3 linked regions of the Canis lupus familiaris genome follow. The protein of the gene in region 1 interacts with the protein of each later gene in a pairwise test. Links are inferred from orthologs where the notes say so. Each region holds a gene or a part of one and is shown in the gene's direction. Other genes may lie near its edges.

The links.
Region 2: the proteins of AAMP (region 1) and BHLHE40 interact in a two-hybrid assay, tested with the Homo sapiens proteins (2 studies listed by BioGRID and IntAct). The link is inferred for Canis lupus familiaris from reciprocal best matches to the Homo sapiens genes AAMP and BHLHE40.
Region 3: the proteins of AAMP (region 1) and AEN interact in binary tests that used the Homo sapiens proteins (3 or more experiments, as listed by UniProt). The link is inferred for Canis lupus familiaris from reciprocal best matches to the Homo sapiens genes AAMP and AEN.

Annotation. Positions count from the first base shown.
Region 1 is NC_049258.1:24,820,093-24,825,648, reverse strand, and holds the start of AAMP (angio-associated migratory cell protein), read left to right. Parts: upstream 1-1,877; coding exon 1,878-1,998; intron 1,999-2,426; coding exon 2,427-2,582; intron 2,583-3,219; coding exon 3,220-3,339; intron 3,340-3,842; coding exon 3,843-3,982; intron 3,983-4,242; coding exon 4,243-4,387; intron 4,388-4,680; coding exon 4,681-4,764; intron 4,765-4,870; coding exon 4,871-4,986; intron 4,987-5,122; coding exon 5,123-5,226; intron 5,227-5,395; coding exon 5,396-5,486; intron 5,487-5,556. Other genes in the region: probable hydrolase PNKD, read right to left, coding at 460-628, 1,364-1,430. UniProt on the Homo sapiens protein: Plays a role in angiogenesis and cell migration. In smooth muscle cell migration, may act through the RhoA pathway.
Region 2 is NC_049241.1:12,716,637-12,721,121, reverse strand, and holds the end of BHLHE40 (class E basic helix-loop-helix protein 40), read left to right. Parts: intron 1-672; coding exon 673-1,529; 3' UTR 1,530-3,022; downstream 3,023-4,485. UniProt on the Homo sapiens protein: Transcriptional repressor involved in the regulation of the circadian rhythm by negatively regulating the activity of the clock genes and clock-controlled genes.
Region 3 is NC_049224.1:52,305,080-52,309,411, forward strand, and holds part of AEN (apoptosis-enhancing nuclease), read left to right. Parts: intron 1-990; coding exon 991-1,595; coding exon of another isoform or gene 1,596-1,607; intron 1,608-3,012; coding exon 3,013-3,213; intron 3,214-3,738; coding exon 3,739-3,972; 3' UTR 3,973-4,332. UniProt on the Homo sapiens protein: Exonuclease with activity against single- and double-stranded DNA and RNA. Mediates p53-induced apoptosis.

The DNA of each region.
Region 1 (5,556 bases):
GCACACCTCAGGTGTGGGGGAAAAAACATTAATTTCCCCCTCCTTTCCTTTTAATATTGATCAACGATACGTATTAAGGTCAGAATCAGATCTAAGTAACGATACACTGAACACCTTCTAGATGCTCCTTATTCAACTAATACACACTCTCTCACGTGACCTCAATGAAAGCTCAATTGCCTTTCACCCCAAGCTCCCAAAAGAGAGAATAAAGCCAGGGACCCAAATTCAAATCAGATTAGCTCAGCTTACTACTACACAGAAAACTCACTGTGTCTCCAATTCCACATACTTTCCCACCCCCCTTGCCTCATTCCTCCGAGTCCAATCCTCACTCCAAGCAGTTCCATCCCCACAACCTCAGATTCAACTCACCACCTGAAACTTGGAGAAGTTTCTGGGTCCCGCCCTCCCCTGTGCCACTCCCCGTTGGTGGGCAAAGAGTTAGTTAAAACTCACCAGGCTAGTCCCACAGCTTTCATGGGGTTCTTGCCCCTCTTTCTGGGGATGTATTCCAGCTCAGGGGATAGGGGCTCAGGCTCCTCCTTGCACTCTGGAGAGCTGTGGCTTTGCAGTGCCCGGGTCCTGCTCTGGGAGGCTTTGTTAGCTGTGGCTCCTGAAAGAATCCCTGTGGATGGAAGGAAGGAAGGAAGGTCAGTAAGAGGAGGAGAGCCCAGGGGAGGAAGGGGAGTGACTGCGGTTTGGAGTAACAAGTGCCAGGGAGAATCCAAAGGGAAATGGGAAAACTGCCATCGAGGTGGCACCTTTGAAAGCCACTTCCACGTCACTGCGGGCTCATCACCCCGGTGCCAGGACGGCGAGCTTCGTCGCTCTTCATCTGCTCGGACGACAGGAAGTGAAGGACTGCAGTGGGGCTCACATAAGACGTATGAAGGGAATCGGAGAAAAGGTTTTCAAACTGCAGAACGTTAGCACTGGAGCTTAAAGGTAGTCTACTCCTTCCCCTCGTTCTGTAGAAGAGGAACCTGAAGCCCCCAGAGACGAGCTGCTTCGCCCAAGGTCAAACTGCCAATTATCCGGGGCTAGAACCCAAGCGTCCAGAAGCCCGGGGCTCTATCCTCTGCACTGCGGTGAGTGTGAGACACCTGGAGCGCGGGAGTCTAAAAGGCTTCCTCGGAGCTCCCTCTCGCAGCATGACCCTGCAGGTGTCGCGGAACTTGAGGGCAGGGGATGGGCTGGGTGACCTCCAGAGAGCATCTTTTCTTAGCCCCCAGACTCTTTATGATCCCGCAGAGAGGTGCGGGCAGGAACCGACAGCCATGACCTCCTGCTATCGCTGGTCGGGAGTATATAAAAAGGGGATCCCCTGCAGCCTTGCCCTCCCCGGGGTCCCTCTCCTTACCCCGGAGGACGCGGGCATTTCTCGCCCCCCGGCCCTTCAGCGCCGTAGCAGCTACCACCGCCGCCATGTTCAGATCCCACCCCCCTTCACCGCGCTCCCCGCCGGGAATTGTAGTTTGCGTAAGGGGCCTCCCCCGCTCCTTCCGTCCTGCCTACAGACCAGAAACTACATCTCCCAGAAGCCCGCGAGGGGCCCCGGGAGAACTACTCTTCCCAGGAGACCCCGGAGGCGCGCACGCTCGCTTGTTTCCCTCCTGTTGGAGGCGGAGTCAGGCCGGGCGGAGTTTGGGTTCTCCCCGCCACGGCCCGCCCCCTTCTCCCAGCTCTGCCCCGTGATTGGTGGGTCAGCCGGGTAGCCCCCTTCGCTATTGGGCTAGCGGCCGTCGCTCTTCCTGCCGGGGAGTCGCCTACGCCTACTTCCTCCCGGGAGGAGGGGCTCGAGTTCCGCGTCGTCGCGCAGAGCTGACTCTGGGAGGCGTTTGGGCCCAGAGAAGTGGATCGGCCGCTTGCGCCGCATGGAGTCCGAATCGGAGAGCGGGGCCGCTGCTGACACCCCCCCCCTGGAGACCCTGAGCTTCCATGGTGATGAAGAGATTATCGAGGTGGTAGAGCTGGATCCTGGCCCGCCCGACCCGGGTGAGAACTGCCGCCGCTCGGGCCGCGGGACGGGAGGCGCCCCCCTGGCCCCCGGCCCCTGCTTCTCCCCCCGGCCCCCCTCCCCTCCGGCCGTTCCTGCCGCTCCCCGTCGCCCTTCCTCCCTGCCCTGCCCCCACACGTAGTTCCCAGGCCTGGCAGGGGTGGGGGTTCCCCTGACGCCTCCTCCGGCCCTTCCCCTCACACACCCCCTTCCCGTCATCCCCTCGGTCCTCCCTTCCCACACGGCCCCTGGCCGTGCCCGGGTCCTCCACCTCGGCGTCCTCCGCCCCCAGAGCCCCCCTCCCCGCCGCCTCACCCCCTCCGTGTGACCTCAGCCGACCCTCTTGCTACACCCCAGCTCCCCACACTTCTCCGCTAAGCCTCTTCTGGCTGCCGAGCCCCACCTTTTAACCCTCTCCCCAAAGCAGATGATCTGGCCCAGGAGATGGAAGACGTGGACTTCGAAGAAGAGGAAGAAGAGGAAGAGGGCAACGAGGAGGGCTGGGTTTTGGAACCCCAGGAAGGAGTGGTGGGCAGCATGGAGGGCCCGGACGACAGCGAAGTCACCTTCGCGCTGCACTCAGGTAGGTCTCTGGTAAACCCCGTGCGCCGGCGCCGCTGAACATCAGACGCCTGCTGTGCCCGGAGCCTTCCCCGGGGCAGGGAGAGGGCCCGGGAGGAGCTCACGCCCCATGGCCTGGGGGAGAGCTGGGCTGCTGGAGCCCGCCCAGGCACCGGGCGTCGGATCTGCTTTTGCTCCTTACAGATCTGTGGTCTTTGTAGCGTCTCTAGGTCTTTGTTTCTTTTCCAGAAGTTACCTTGTCGTAAATTAGAGGTAGCAGTACTTTTTCTGAGCAAATTTTGTATACTATTCTCAAATACTGGTCCGTAATAAGGCAAGTGACGGGGTGCCCTCACTCCGTGCTCAGCCCGGTGGCAGCCCCGGCTGAGCCTGTAAGCCCTGCACGTGTCCACTGCTCTGGTCTGAGCGTCAGTCTGGGGTGGTGAAGGCAGCAGCCCTGCAGAAGGACTCGGAGCTTGGCAAGGGTAGAGAGGGATTTCTCCAACAACCTGATGCTTGAAACTTAGAAGAACTTGGATGCACCCTTCTTTTCTGGAGGAAAGACATGGTGCTCTGGGTGGAAGCGGGTGGGCTTCCCGAAGGACAGGACCCTGGGTGGCAGCCCTGTCCGCTCACTCGTGGACTCTCTCTTGGGACAGCGTCTGTGTTTTGTGTGAGCCTGGACCCCAAGACCAACACGTTGGCCGTGACGGGGGGTGAAGATGACAAAGCTTTCGTGTGGAGGCTCAGCGATGGGGAGCTGCTCTTTGAGTGTGCAGGTGAGGGAGCACGGCTGAGGTCCTGTTCTCCTGGAGGTCTTAGGGGGGCTAGCCTGCTGTGCTCATGCCTCCAGCAGCTACTTACTGATCTCCATCCTGTGCTGGACCCGAGGACTTCAAAGCAGATGATCTAGTCTGTTTTGGGTGCAGGGGAGGGAGCTGGTAGTGGCCAAAGGAGTCTGGGCAGGGTCTGCGAGGAGGTAGCACTGGCTTAGGCAGAAAGGGGGAGCAGGTATTTGGGGCAGAGGTGTGGAGGTATTTGGGGCAGAGGACGTAAGCCTGAGCGAGGCACGGTTGAGTGGGAGGCTAGCATTGCCACCCCTAGGGAGGCCTGGGGGTATTGGCGCCTGGCACGGGCAGTGACTCGAGTCACCTGTTACGGTGGGAACCCCCCCTCTTTCCTTCCCAGCTGGTCCTTCCTGGGGGCCGGACGCCTGGGTCGTGTGTCACCAGCACCAGATACCCTGACGTTCTCCTCTCTTTCTACCTACTTTGCTTTGCAGGCCATAAAGACTCTGTTACTTGTGCTGGCTTCAGCCACGACTCTACCCTAGTGGCCACCGGGGACATGAGTGGCCTCTTGAAAGTGTGGCAGGTCGACACCAAGGAGGAAGTGTGGTCCTTTGAAGCAGGAGACCTGGAGGTGAGATCGTCAGAGTGGTGTTTGGCTGTGTGGGGCCTTGGGTGGGAGGTGAGGGCTTGGGGGTCCGGTGTCGCCTGTCCCGGACCCAGCCAGCTCTGAGCCAGTGCGCTCTCAGGTTGCAGCAAGGGTGTCTACTCCGTTTCCCGTCCAGGCCCCGCTGACCTCAGCAGCAAGGACAGCTTGGGGGGAGCTTAGGGGACAGGCTCCTAGGCGGGATGGGGTGACAGGCGCCTCCCTGCTGACCCTTCCTTTCTGCCCAGTGGATGGAGTGGCACCCTCGGGCACCTGTCCTCCTGGCGGGCACCGCTGACGGCAACACTTGGATGTGGAAGGTCCCAAATGGTGACTGCAAGACCTTCCAAGGCCCCAACTGCCCAGCTACCTGTGGCCGCGTCCTCCCTGATGGTGAGGGCAGCTCTCTGTCCGTCCTTCCCTGGGTGTACAGAGGTTGGCTCCAGGTGTACTCACCCTCCTGGGCTCCCTCCGGGTCCTGGCCGGCCAGCTCCGAGGTCCGCCGTCCGGAGCGTGGACCCAGGCCCCAGAGCAGACCGCGTCCCCTCTCCGGCCTGGACTGCACACTCTTCCTTCCGTGGGGCAGGGTCTGCTCCCTTACTTTCCTGTCTCCCCGCCCCCCTCATTCCCTTGCTGGGTGTGCCTGAGGGTGCCATCTGACCACCTCTGTGCCTGTGGCCCTTCAGGGAAGAGAGCTGTGGTCGGCTATGAAGATGGCACCATCAGGATCTGGGACCTGAAGCAGGGAAGTCCGATCCACGTACTAAAAGGTCTCTAAGGCAGGGGAAGGGTTCGCTGGGGGTGTCTGTGCGGGAGACCTGGGGCAGGACTCGGGGCCTGGGGGGCAGCCTGACCTAGCTGTCTGCCCCCTCCTAGGGACCGAGGGTCACCAGGGCCCTCTGACCTGTGTCGCCACCAACCAGGACGGCAGCCTGATCCTCACTGGCTCCGTGGACTGCCAGGCCCAGCTGGTCAGTGCCACCACTGGCAAGGTGAGTGCGACCTGCAGCCTGTCGCTGGAGCCTCTGCTGCCCACGTCCCCTGTGCGTCTCCTGTTGCCTTGCCGCCCTCTCGTCAGCCCTCCCGTCAGCCCTCCTCCCGTCCCGATTCTCCCCCCATGGCTTACAGGTGGTGGGTGTGTTCAGACCCGAGACTGTGGCCTCCCAGCCCAACGTTGGAGAGGGGGAGGAGAGCGAGTCCAACTCCGTGGAGTCTTTGGGCTTCTGCAGCGTGTGAGTGTGAGAGTGAGAAGGGCCAGGGCCTGGGCCTGGAGATGAGGACAGCTGTAGAGAAGGGGGTGGGGCGAGGGGCGCCTGGGCCGGGGAGCCAGGGAGGAGTGCAGGGTGCGTGAGCCCACGTCCCTCCATGAGCCTTTCTTTAGTGGTGCTCCCCTCTGCCCAGGATGCCTCTGGCAGCTGTTGGCTACCTGGATGGGACCTTGGCCATCTATGACCTGTCTACGCAGACCCTCAGGCATCAGTGTCAGCACCAGGTACAGGCAGCCTGGAGCTCTGGTGGGGCCTCTCTGTCACCCGCCCCCTCCTTTCCTCCCTCCTCCCCTC
Region 2 (4,485 bases), on another chromosome or scaffold:
TTCTTCTACTCGCTCCCTCATTCCATTCTTCTTGCCCTTCTTTCCAAGACCCATGTGATGAGAATCCCAGAAGCCTAGCAAGTGCTTCTGCCAGCTTTCTTATTGAAAATAGGAAGATGATCGTACTTGATGTCTTGGGGCGTATAGATAGGATACGTGGAAAAGGCTTAGAAAGAGCTTTGAAATTTAAAGATTCCAGCACAATTGCAACTTTTTAAATTGAAAATAAGCTAACGTAGGTGACATCATTCCTTTATTCTTTATCGCATTCTATGACTGGTCCTGTCCAATCTTGCTCTGGTAAGAGCATCCTCTAAACATATGAGGATGTTCACTGCTGAGTCGCTTATAATGAAAACTCAAGAATGAGCTATAAATTCAATGAGCGAAAATAGTCCATCTCTATTAATTATGTTCTGTTTCTATGATTGGGTTATTATGCAGCCATTATAGCTCATATTTGACCTGTAAGTGGTAAGATAGTGGATTATTTTTGTTCTATTATTTATACTTTTCAGTGTAATCCAAAATTTTCCCGATCGTATTACTTTTGGAGTTAGGAACACAAAGTCAGCAAGTGCTGTTAACCGAAAGGAAAGCTCCCGGGTGTAGGTATCCAGGTGAACCACGGGACCTTCTGAAATGTCTTCCTTTGGATCTGTGTTGATCCAGGTGAGCTGTCGGGGAGAAATGTTGAAGCAGGTCAAGAGATGTTCTGCTCAGGTTTCCAGACGTGTGCCCGGGAGGTGCTTCAGTACCTGGCCAAGCATGAGAACACTCGGGACCTGAAGTCTTCACAGCTAGTCACCCACCTTCACCGTGTGGTCTCAGAGCTGCTGCAGGGGGGGACCTCCAGGAAACCATCAGACCCGGCTCCCAAAGCCATGGACTTCAAGGAGAAACCCAGCTCCCTGGCCAAAGGCTCTGAAGGCCCCGGGAAAAACTGTGTGCCGGTCATCCAGCGGACTTTTGCTCACTCGAGTGGGGAGCAGAGTGGCAGTGACACGGACACAGACAGTGGCTACGGAGGAGAATCAGAGAAGGGTGACTTGCGTGGTGAGCAGCAGTACTTCAAAAGCGATCATGGACGCAGGTTCACCATGGGAGAAAGGATCGGTGTTATTAAGCAAGAATCTGAAGAACCCCCAACAAAAAAGAGCAGGATGCAGCTCTCAGATGATGAAGGCCACTTCACTGGCAGTGACCTGATCAGCTCCCCATTCCTGGGCCCACACCCACACCAGCCTCCCTTCTGTCTGCCCTTCTATCTCATCCCGCCGTCAGCGACTGCCTACTTGCCCATGCTGGAGAAGTGCTGGTATCCCACCTCCGTCCCAGTGTTATACCCGGGCCTCAACGCCTCCGCCGCAGCCCTCACCAGCTTCATGAACCCAGACAAGATCTCAGCCCCCTTGCTCATGCCTCAGAGACTCCCTTCTCCCTTGCCAGCCCATCCGGCCATCGACTCTTCTGCCCTGCTCCAAGCTTTGAAGCAGATCCCCCCTTTAAACTTAGAAACCAAAGACTAGGGGACCTTGCCGCACTGCTTTCCTTCCTCCCTACTTCCCCCTCCCCCCTCAAAAAAGAAAGTGTGACTGCAGCAAGATTGTTCTAGTGTGTATGCTGAGATAATCTGAGGCATGGAGAGAAGATTTTTGGGGTCCCTGTGTGCGTGTGTGTATCTGTGTGCGCGTGCGTGCGCCTGCGCTCGCGTGCATCGTGTGCTGGTATAGGACATTAAAGCTCCTTTTGGCGTAGGGAAGATATGAAGGATTGCCTGACATCAGGAGACTTAGGGGGGATTGTAGCAGATCTCTGGGCTTTCCCCCACCCGGAGAATAGCCCCCTCAGATACATCCAAATCAGCTGGATTTTCAAAAGCTTCAAAGTCTTGGTCTGTGAGTCAGTCTTCGTTTTGGGAGCCGGGTCTGTGGCTTTGAGAGAAAGGTACTTTCAAAAGAGGGCTTTCCAGAGCGCAGTTCCCAGCCAGCTCTAATGACCCCACCCTTCTCCCTTTATTGTTGCGGTGACTCACCGAAAGGGGAGAGGGCAGCCACACTGAGCTTTCTGCTAAGTGGTGAGGTAGCAGACACTGGCATAGCACGGTAGTGGTTTGGGGAGATTTCTGCAGGTCTGCTCCCCACCCGCTGCTGCCTTCTCCGGTGAATAAAGAGAATGTAGTTCCCTTCTCAGGCTTTCGTAGTGATTAGCTTAATAAGGAACTGAAAAGGGCCCCCTGGTCAAGCTGAGCTGCCAAGGAATGAGGGAGGAGGCCCCAGGGCCTCTGGTGCCTATTCCTAGGTCTCACCTAGAAAATGATCTTGCTGTCCCAGGAACCAGAGCAGGGTCTGCGAGATGCAGGTGCCTATGCTGCAGTCATCCCCAAAATGCATAAAGCCAAGTAACAAATTGCTACCTTCAACGAGCAGAGCTAGACTCAGTTTTCAGTTCTATCCTAAAACTCCTTTACCAAGCTTAGCTTAAAGGCCTAACCAGCTCTTGGCACAGCAAGATCCTTTCTGCAGGCTAATTCCCCTCGCCCGACGGCATAGGGAGTGTCCTTATTGCTAAAAAGGATTCTGTCTCCTTCAAAGAAGTTTTATTTTTGGTCCAGAGTACTTGTTTTCCGACTCATCCAGCTAGCCCTGCACCAGCTTTTTGAAATGCACTATGCTTGATCGCCGATCGTGTTTTAACTTTTTCTTTTCCTGTTTTTATTTTGGTATAAAGTCATTGCCTTTATTTGTAAAACTGTTATAAATATATATTATATAAATATATTAAAAAGGAAAATGTTTCAGATGTTTATTTGTATAATTACTTGATCTACAAAGTGAGAAAAATGAATGTATTCCTGTTTTTGAAGAGAAGAATAATTTTTTTCTCTAGGGAGAGGTACAGTGTTTATATTTTGGAGCCTTCCTGAAGGTGTGAAATTGTAAATATTTTTATCTATGAGTCAATGTTAAGTAGTTGTTTTAAAATACTTAATAAAATAATCCTTTTCCTGTGGAAGAGAAAAGATGGTCTTTTGCATTTTTTTAGAATGCCCCAGTTGTGTGATACGGCTGTCTTCTTCCCTCCCCTCTTGGCTGGAGGCAACAACTAGTTAATCTTGGCGTCATTTCATTCAGCTTTTTATGTGCCTTGTATTCAGACAGAATAAACTTGGTCAATTTCATGGTAAATATTTGTTTAAATTTTTTTTTTTTAACTAACGGTTGCTAAAGTTCATGGCCACCCTGCGCCTCCTTCCAGCATTAGGCAAAAAAAAGTACATTGTCCCTGTCCCCCCAACCCCAGCCTGCTTTTGTCATGATCCTTAGAGCTTGACAGAAAATCAAATTATAGAATCGTTGGGCCTTAGGATCTGGGGAGCTTGCTGGAGGGGTAGGCACATGGAGAAAAGATTTAATGGATTATTATGCAATAATAATTGGTGCTGGGGATAGCATCCTCTGCCAAGCCAGTCTAACTTTTTTGAGTCTAGCAAAGTCTAATGGATTTGCCATATCCTGTCTTATTGCTGCTGAAGGCAACATTCCATAATTATTTTCTACATCCTTCCTGGACTTCCTCTCGTTGGGTGTGTTTGTGCGTGAATGAATATTGGTGTTCCTTAGTCAAGTGCTCTTATGAAGAAAAAAAATTTCCATGGGAAAAGAAGTGGGAAATGACCGGGTCGAGTATTTTTGCCTCTCCCCTTCTCCCCATCAGGGATGTCCCTGCTGGCCAGTGCCTGGCTTGCCATGCTTCAGATCCCCAAGTATCTGAGTCCTCTGGGAACCCTCTGGATGTCTGCAGCCTGAGCAGGGAACCTGCCCCCAGGGAGTTCCCAGCCAGGCAAAGGCACCACCTGCCCCTCATGACTTTGCTTCAGATGTCGCCTTCACTGTCTCCTGACCAGCCAGCCAGCAGGTGAGAGCGAGCATTGCCTGGCTGTGTGAGATGCGGAATGCATACTCTGAAGGACGGAGTTCTCTCCAGGCAGCATGGCACCACGGAAGGAGCACCGCACTGGGAGTCTAGAGACAACCCATGGCCTCTCATCTGTCTGCCTTCCAAGCCTGGTCTTGACTAGGTAAAATCAGGATGCTGAGCCCTTATCACATGCCCTATAGCGAGCAGATGACAAATTCTGGAAGTCTCTCCTCCTTGCAGCTCCTTAGGGCTTCTAGGTCTCCCCCCTCCATCCCGGCCCAAGTCCCTGAAATGCCCCCATGAATTGCTAGGCTTCTCTGGCTAGACTTTTGGTAAAAAACCTGAGCAAGTCAAGTTTATCCTGGGGATGGAGCATGGGGTTGAAATCAGGGCCCGACTGGTTTTGCAAGCCCCCTTTTCTCTCCCAGGCCCATAACTCAAGGAGTAGCTTGCCAGGACTGAAGGCAGCAGTTGGAGCACCCTGAACCAACAACACATCTGAGGGATCAGACGCATGACAGTCGACCCAGAATCCCTCTCCTGGAGCCGGGCGGCTCACACACC
Region 3 (4,332 bases), on another chromosome or scaffold:
TGGCCTGTTAAAAATGTACCAGGTGACTTAGCAAGTGAGTGAAGCTGTCCAAGCATGGTCCCTCGCTCTTGGGCACCTGCTGGCCTTGTTGCATGGGATTTGCAAACCCACATGAACTTCAGAAATCCCCAGTGTCCAGTAATGGAGGGACCTGCGGACCCTGCCTTTTCTGTTTCCCTTTTTGTGTGTTGAGCCAGCTTACGAGCATACCCCTGCCTTTAGTCTCTGGTGACTTAGCAAAATGCCTAGCTATCAAAAACTGTTTTAGATGCTGTTGTGATTAGTGAGGTAGAAAGTCATTTAATGAATTACCTTATTTTGGTTGACAGATACCGAAAATGCAACTATGGTGAGCCTCTTGTGAATTTTTTTTCTCTAGTTTCTGCTGAGGATGAGGGCCTGTGCTTTCACAAAGGATTCTTTTGGTTTTTGGTTTTTGGTTTTTTTAAAACTGGGATTAGATTGTGTGGCCAGCTCAGTTGGAAGAGTATGCGACTCTTGGTCTTGGGGTCATGAGTTTGAGCCTCACATTGGGTGTAGAGATAACTTAAATTTAAAAAATTTAAAAATGAGATTTGCGTGTGTATGTGTGTATGCATACACACGGTGTTTCTGTAACTTTTCTTTTCCCATATCTATACCTCTCTAAAGCTTGTTGATGCTCCTGAAGGTGTGCTCTGGCTTGAAGGTTGAGACCCTGGATGCTGGGTTCGCATCAACTCTTGTCTTTCTCACCTGTGAGATGAGAACGATCATACTTGTTCAGGTTGTTGGGAGTATTTAGTGATTCTATGTAAAGTACTTGGGATAGTGATTCACAGGGGAGCTTGACTCAGTGCAGTGATTATTTGAAAGGTCCTGGGCTCAGTCTGGGAGCCTGAGACAAAGTACAGGGCTCGTGGGCAGTGGGCAGTGGAGCCCTGCAGGCGGGGGCAGGGCTGGCCCTGCACACTTCTCACCCAGCCTCTCTGCCCTGTGTTGTCTCTGCAGAGCGCCGCCCCGCTGGCAGATCACCCCACCAGGCCACGCCTGCCCCGAGGTGTGAGCTGATTGGGATGGTACCCCGGGAAGGCCCAGAGTCTGCCCAGTGCCCGTGCCCTTCCCTGGCTAGCCTGAATACCAAGGATGTGCTTCGGAGAAAACACAAGCGGAAGAGTCGACAGCACCAGCGATTCATGGCCCGGAAAGCCCTTCTGCAGGAGCAGGGGCTGCTGAGCATGCCCCCCAAGCTGGGACCCTCCCCGCTGCCCATGCCATCAGAGGCACTGCCGGGCACTGAAGCCACCAGCAGTGGGATGCAGCGTCTGAGGAATGAACCTGGAGGTGCCTCGTGGAGCAGAAAGCCTACCCCCCGGGAATCCGCAGGGCCCCGGCCCAGCAAATGTGTGGCCATCGACTGTGAGATGGTGGGCACAGGACCCCGAGGGCGGGTGAGTGAGCTGGCCCGCTGCTCTGTAGTGAGTTACCATGGCGATGTCCTCTATGACAAGTACATTCGGCCTGAGATGCCCATCGTGGACTACCGCACTCGCTGGAGTGGTGTCACTCGGCAGCACATGCGCAAGGCCATCCCCTTCCAGGTGGCCCAGAAAGAGGTGAGGACATAGGTGAGGACATGTGTGGATGGGGGATGGCCAGGGAAGGGCAGCCCTGGGTTTGAGTCACCACTCAGCTGCTGGAAACGAGTTTGGGAAAGTTACTTAACCTCTGTGTAACGTGTGGCTTCCTTCTCCATAAACAAGGGTGCATAAAATCTGGACCCACCTCCATGGGAGGGTTGCTGGGTAGTCTTTGGGATAATGTTTGTGGAAAGACCGCCACTTGGAAGATGTGAAAGGCTCACAAGTTACATTTTCTTTTCGGTTGTAAAAGTATGATGTATCTATTTAGAATTTGCAAGGCCCACAGTCCTGTCATCTTCAGGCATCAGCGTTTCCATATTTTTTTAGTTATCCGGAGCTTTGAAAAAGATCAATTAGTGATTGGGATCGCACTAATGTGCTAGGAGTTCCCAAACGTATTTGACCATAGGAAGCACCTAAAGCACTGTTAAATCTTGAATCTTTGTCCCCAGATCCTTCCATGGAGATTCTCATGGGCTTGGGGATGGCTTTGAAAAATCATCATGCTGTGCAAACGTGCACATGACCTCCCTGGGGCCTGAGAAGGATGGAAGGCAGGGAAGAGAGGCATGCACTATGCACGTGGTGAGCGCTGAGCCAGAGACCAAAGGTTTCAGAGGTGGGAAGCGGAGTCCTGTATGGCCCCTTGTCCAGGGGCAGGATCCTGAGGAGACAGGCCATGTTGGCTAATGCTAACAAAAGCTGCTGTTAATGGGCTTATCTCTAGTGCCAGGCACAGTTCTGTGGACGTCATCCAGTGGGTCTTTATCCGTCGCCTCCTATGTACTGAGCTTTCATCGAGCATCACTAGTCAAGTCAAACACCGTCCCTGCTGTTTACACTGAGCTAACATGGGGGCAGGTGGATAGACTGTGCCAGACCTAGAGGTGTCCTTAGAAAACGTGATGAATCCACTCCACCACCATGGGAGAGAACAGCCCGGGTCCTGATGTGGCTGGGCCAGTCATGTGGGAGGCCTCCTGGCATGGAAGCCGAGGCGCCCCGAGAGGACTTGGCACAAGGTTGAGTGGGGTGGGGGAGTGCAGGGAAGTCTTCCAGTCTGAGCAGAGAGCCTGTGCCAGTAGAACAGAGTTGCTTGTATTGATCAACTAGAAGACTTCTTCCAGGAGCTACTTCTTAAAATGCTCAGACCCACCCCGGGGAGACAGCACTCTTACTTGTTCGAGAGCCTAAGTGTGCCCCGGGTCATAGTGAGTCGAAGGCCCAGGACTCAGACATGAGGCTGCGTGGCTGACCATGGAGCTCGTGGGTGCCCTCTCCACACTGCCCCCCCCCCCCTTTGGAGGGATCTGTGTGCCAGTGGCCAGGGTGGCAGCACATGTCTCGTGCCAGCTTGACAGCAGGGTCTTCCTCCCTCCTTCACTCATAGATCCTCAAGCTCCTGAAGGGCAAGGTGGTGGTGGGGCATGCGCTCCACAATGACTTCCAGGCCCTCAAGTACGTGCACCCTCGGAGCCAGACCCGGGATACCACTTACGTGCCCAACCTCCTCCACCAGCCTGGCCTCCACACCCGCACCCGGGTGTCTCTTAAGGACCTGGCCCTGCAGCTGCTCCACAAGAAGATCCAGGTGCGTGGGACGGGAGAAGGGGCCATGGGGTGTGCCTTCGGGCTTCCAGTCATTCCACCTTCCCCAGTCCCCGGGACCAGGGCGCTAAGTATGATGTCCCACACGTAGAGGCAGCCCTGGGTGTTTTCTCCACCATCCCTATTGTGACAGCCAACCACGTTCTTGCAGGCTGGGCTCTTGCAGACCTGTCCTCCACCCGGTCCCTGGCTCTGTCCCTGCCCTTCATGGAGAATCCACAAGGCGGAGCCTTTCCCAGGGGCAGCCAGTAACTCTCGCTCCCACTGTCCTTCTCATTATTCCGTCCGCTCTTCAAGCCTCTGAAGTCAGTTATACCACGGGTTATGTTTGAGTTGGGGACGCAGGGTCAGAGAGGATAGGTGGGGTACGGGATGTCTGAGATTGCTGTGCTCTCCTGAGCAGCACCCATGCCCTGCCCCCGTCCCGAGCCATACACAGCTGTTCCGAGAGTTCTGGGCCTGCACCAGATCCAGAATGGCGGGCAGTGATGAGGGCTCTTGTCTGCAGGCTGGCCAGCACGGGCACTCATCAGTGGAAGATGCCACGACAGCCATGGAGCTCTATCGGCTGGTGGAGGTGCAGTGGGAGCAGCAGCAGGCCAGCAGCCTGCCGCCCCGCCCGGAGGACCGAGAGCCTGACAGCAGCACGGACATGGAGCAGTACATGGAGGACCAGTACTGGCCAGAGGACCTGGCCCAGGGCACCCACGGAGAAACGGAGGCACAGGACAGAAGGGAGTGAGGCAGGAGAGCCCTGGGCAATTCATCCTGGGCAGGGCAGGGTGCAGCTAGCCTGTTGCCAGGGTCCGGGGAGTTGGGATCATCTATCCTTTTGGCTCCCTCTGCCCAGGGCTCTTGTGGGCACTTCCCCCCCATGGTTTGCTAATGGCACTTTATAGGCACTGTGAAAATGTCAGGTGGGTGAGCTATGGGGACCGAGCCAGAGGAGGGAGTGTGCCAGCAGACCATCCTAGCTGTCACTGCCCCCCCCCCCCCCCCCCCCGGTGTGCTGTCTCAGAGGGTGAGGTCTCCTCGTGGGGTGTTAGCTCAGCTCAGTGACCTGGGGTAAGGCCCTTTTCTCTTACTGCCCTCTGCATCTTCC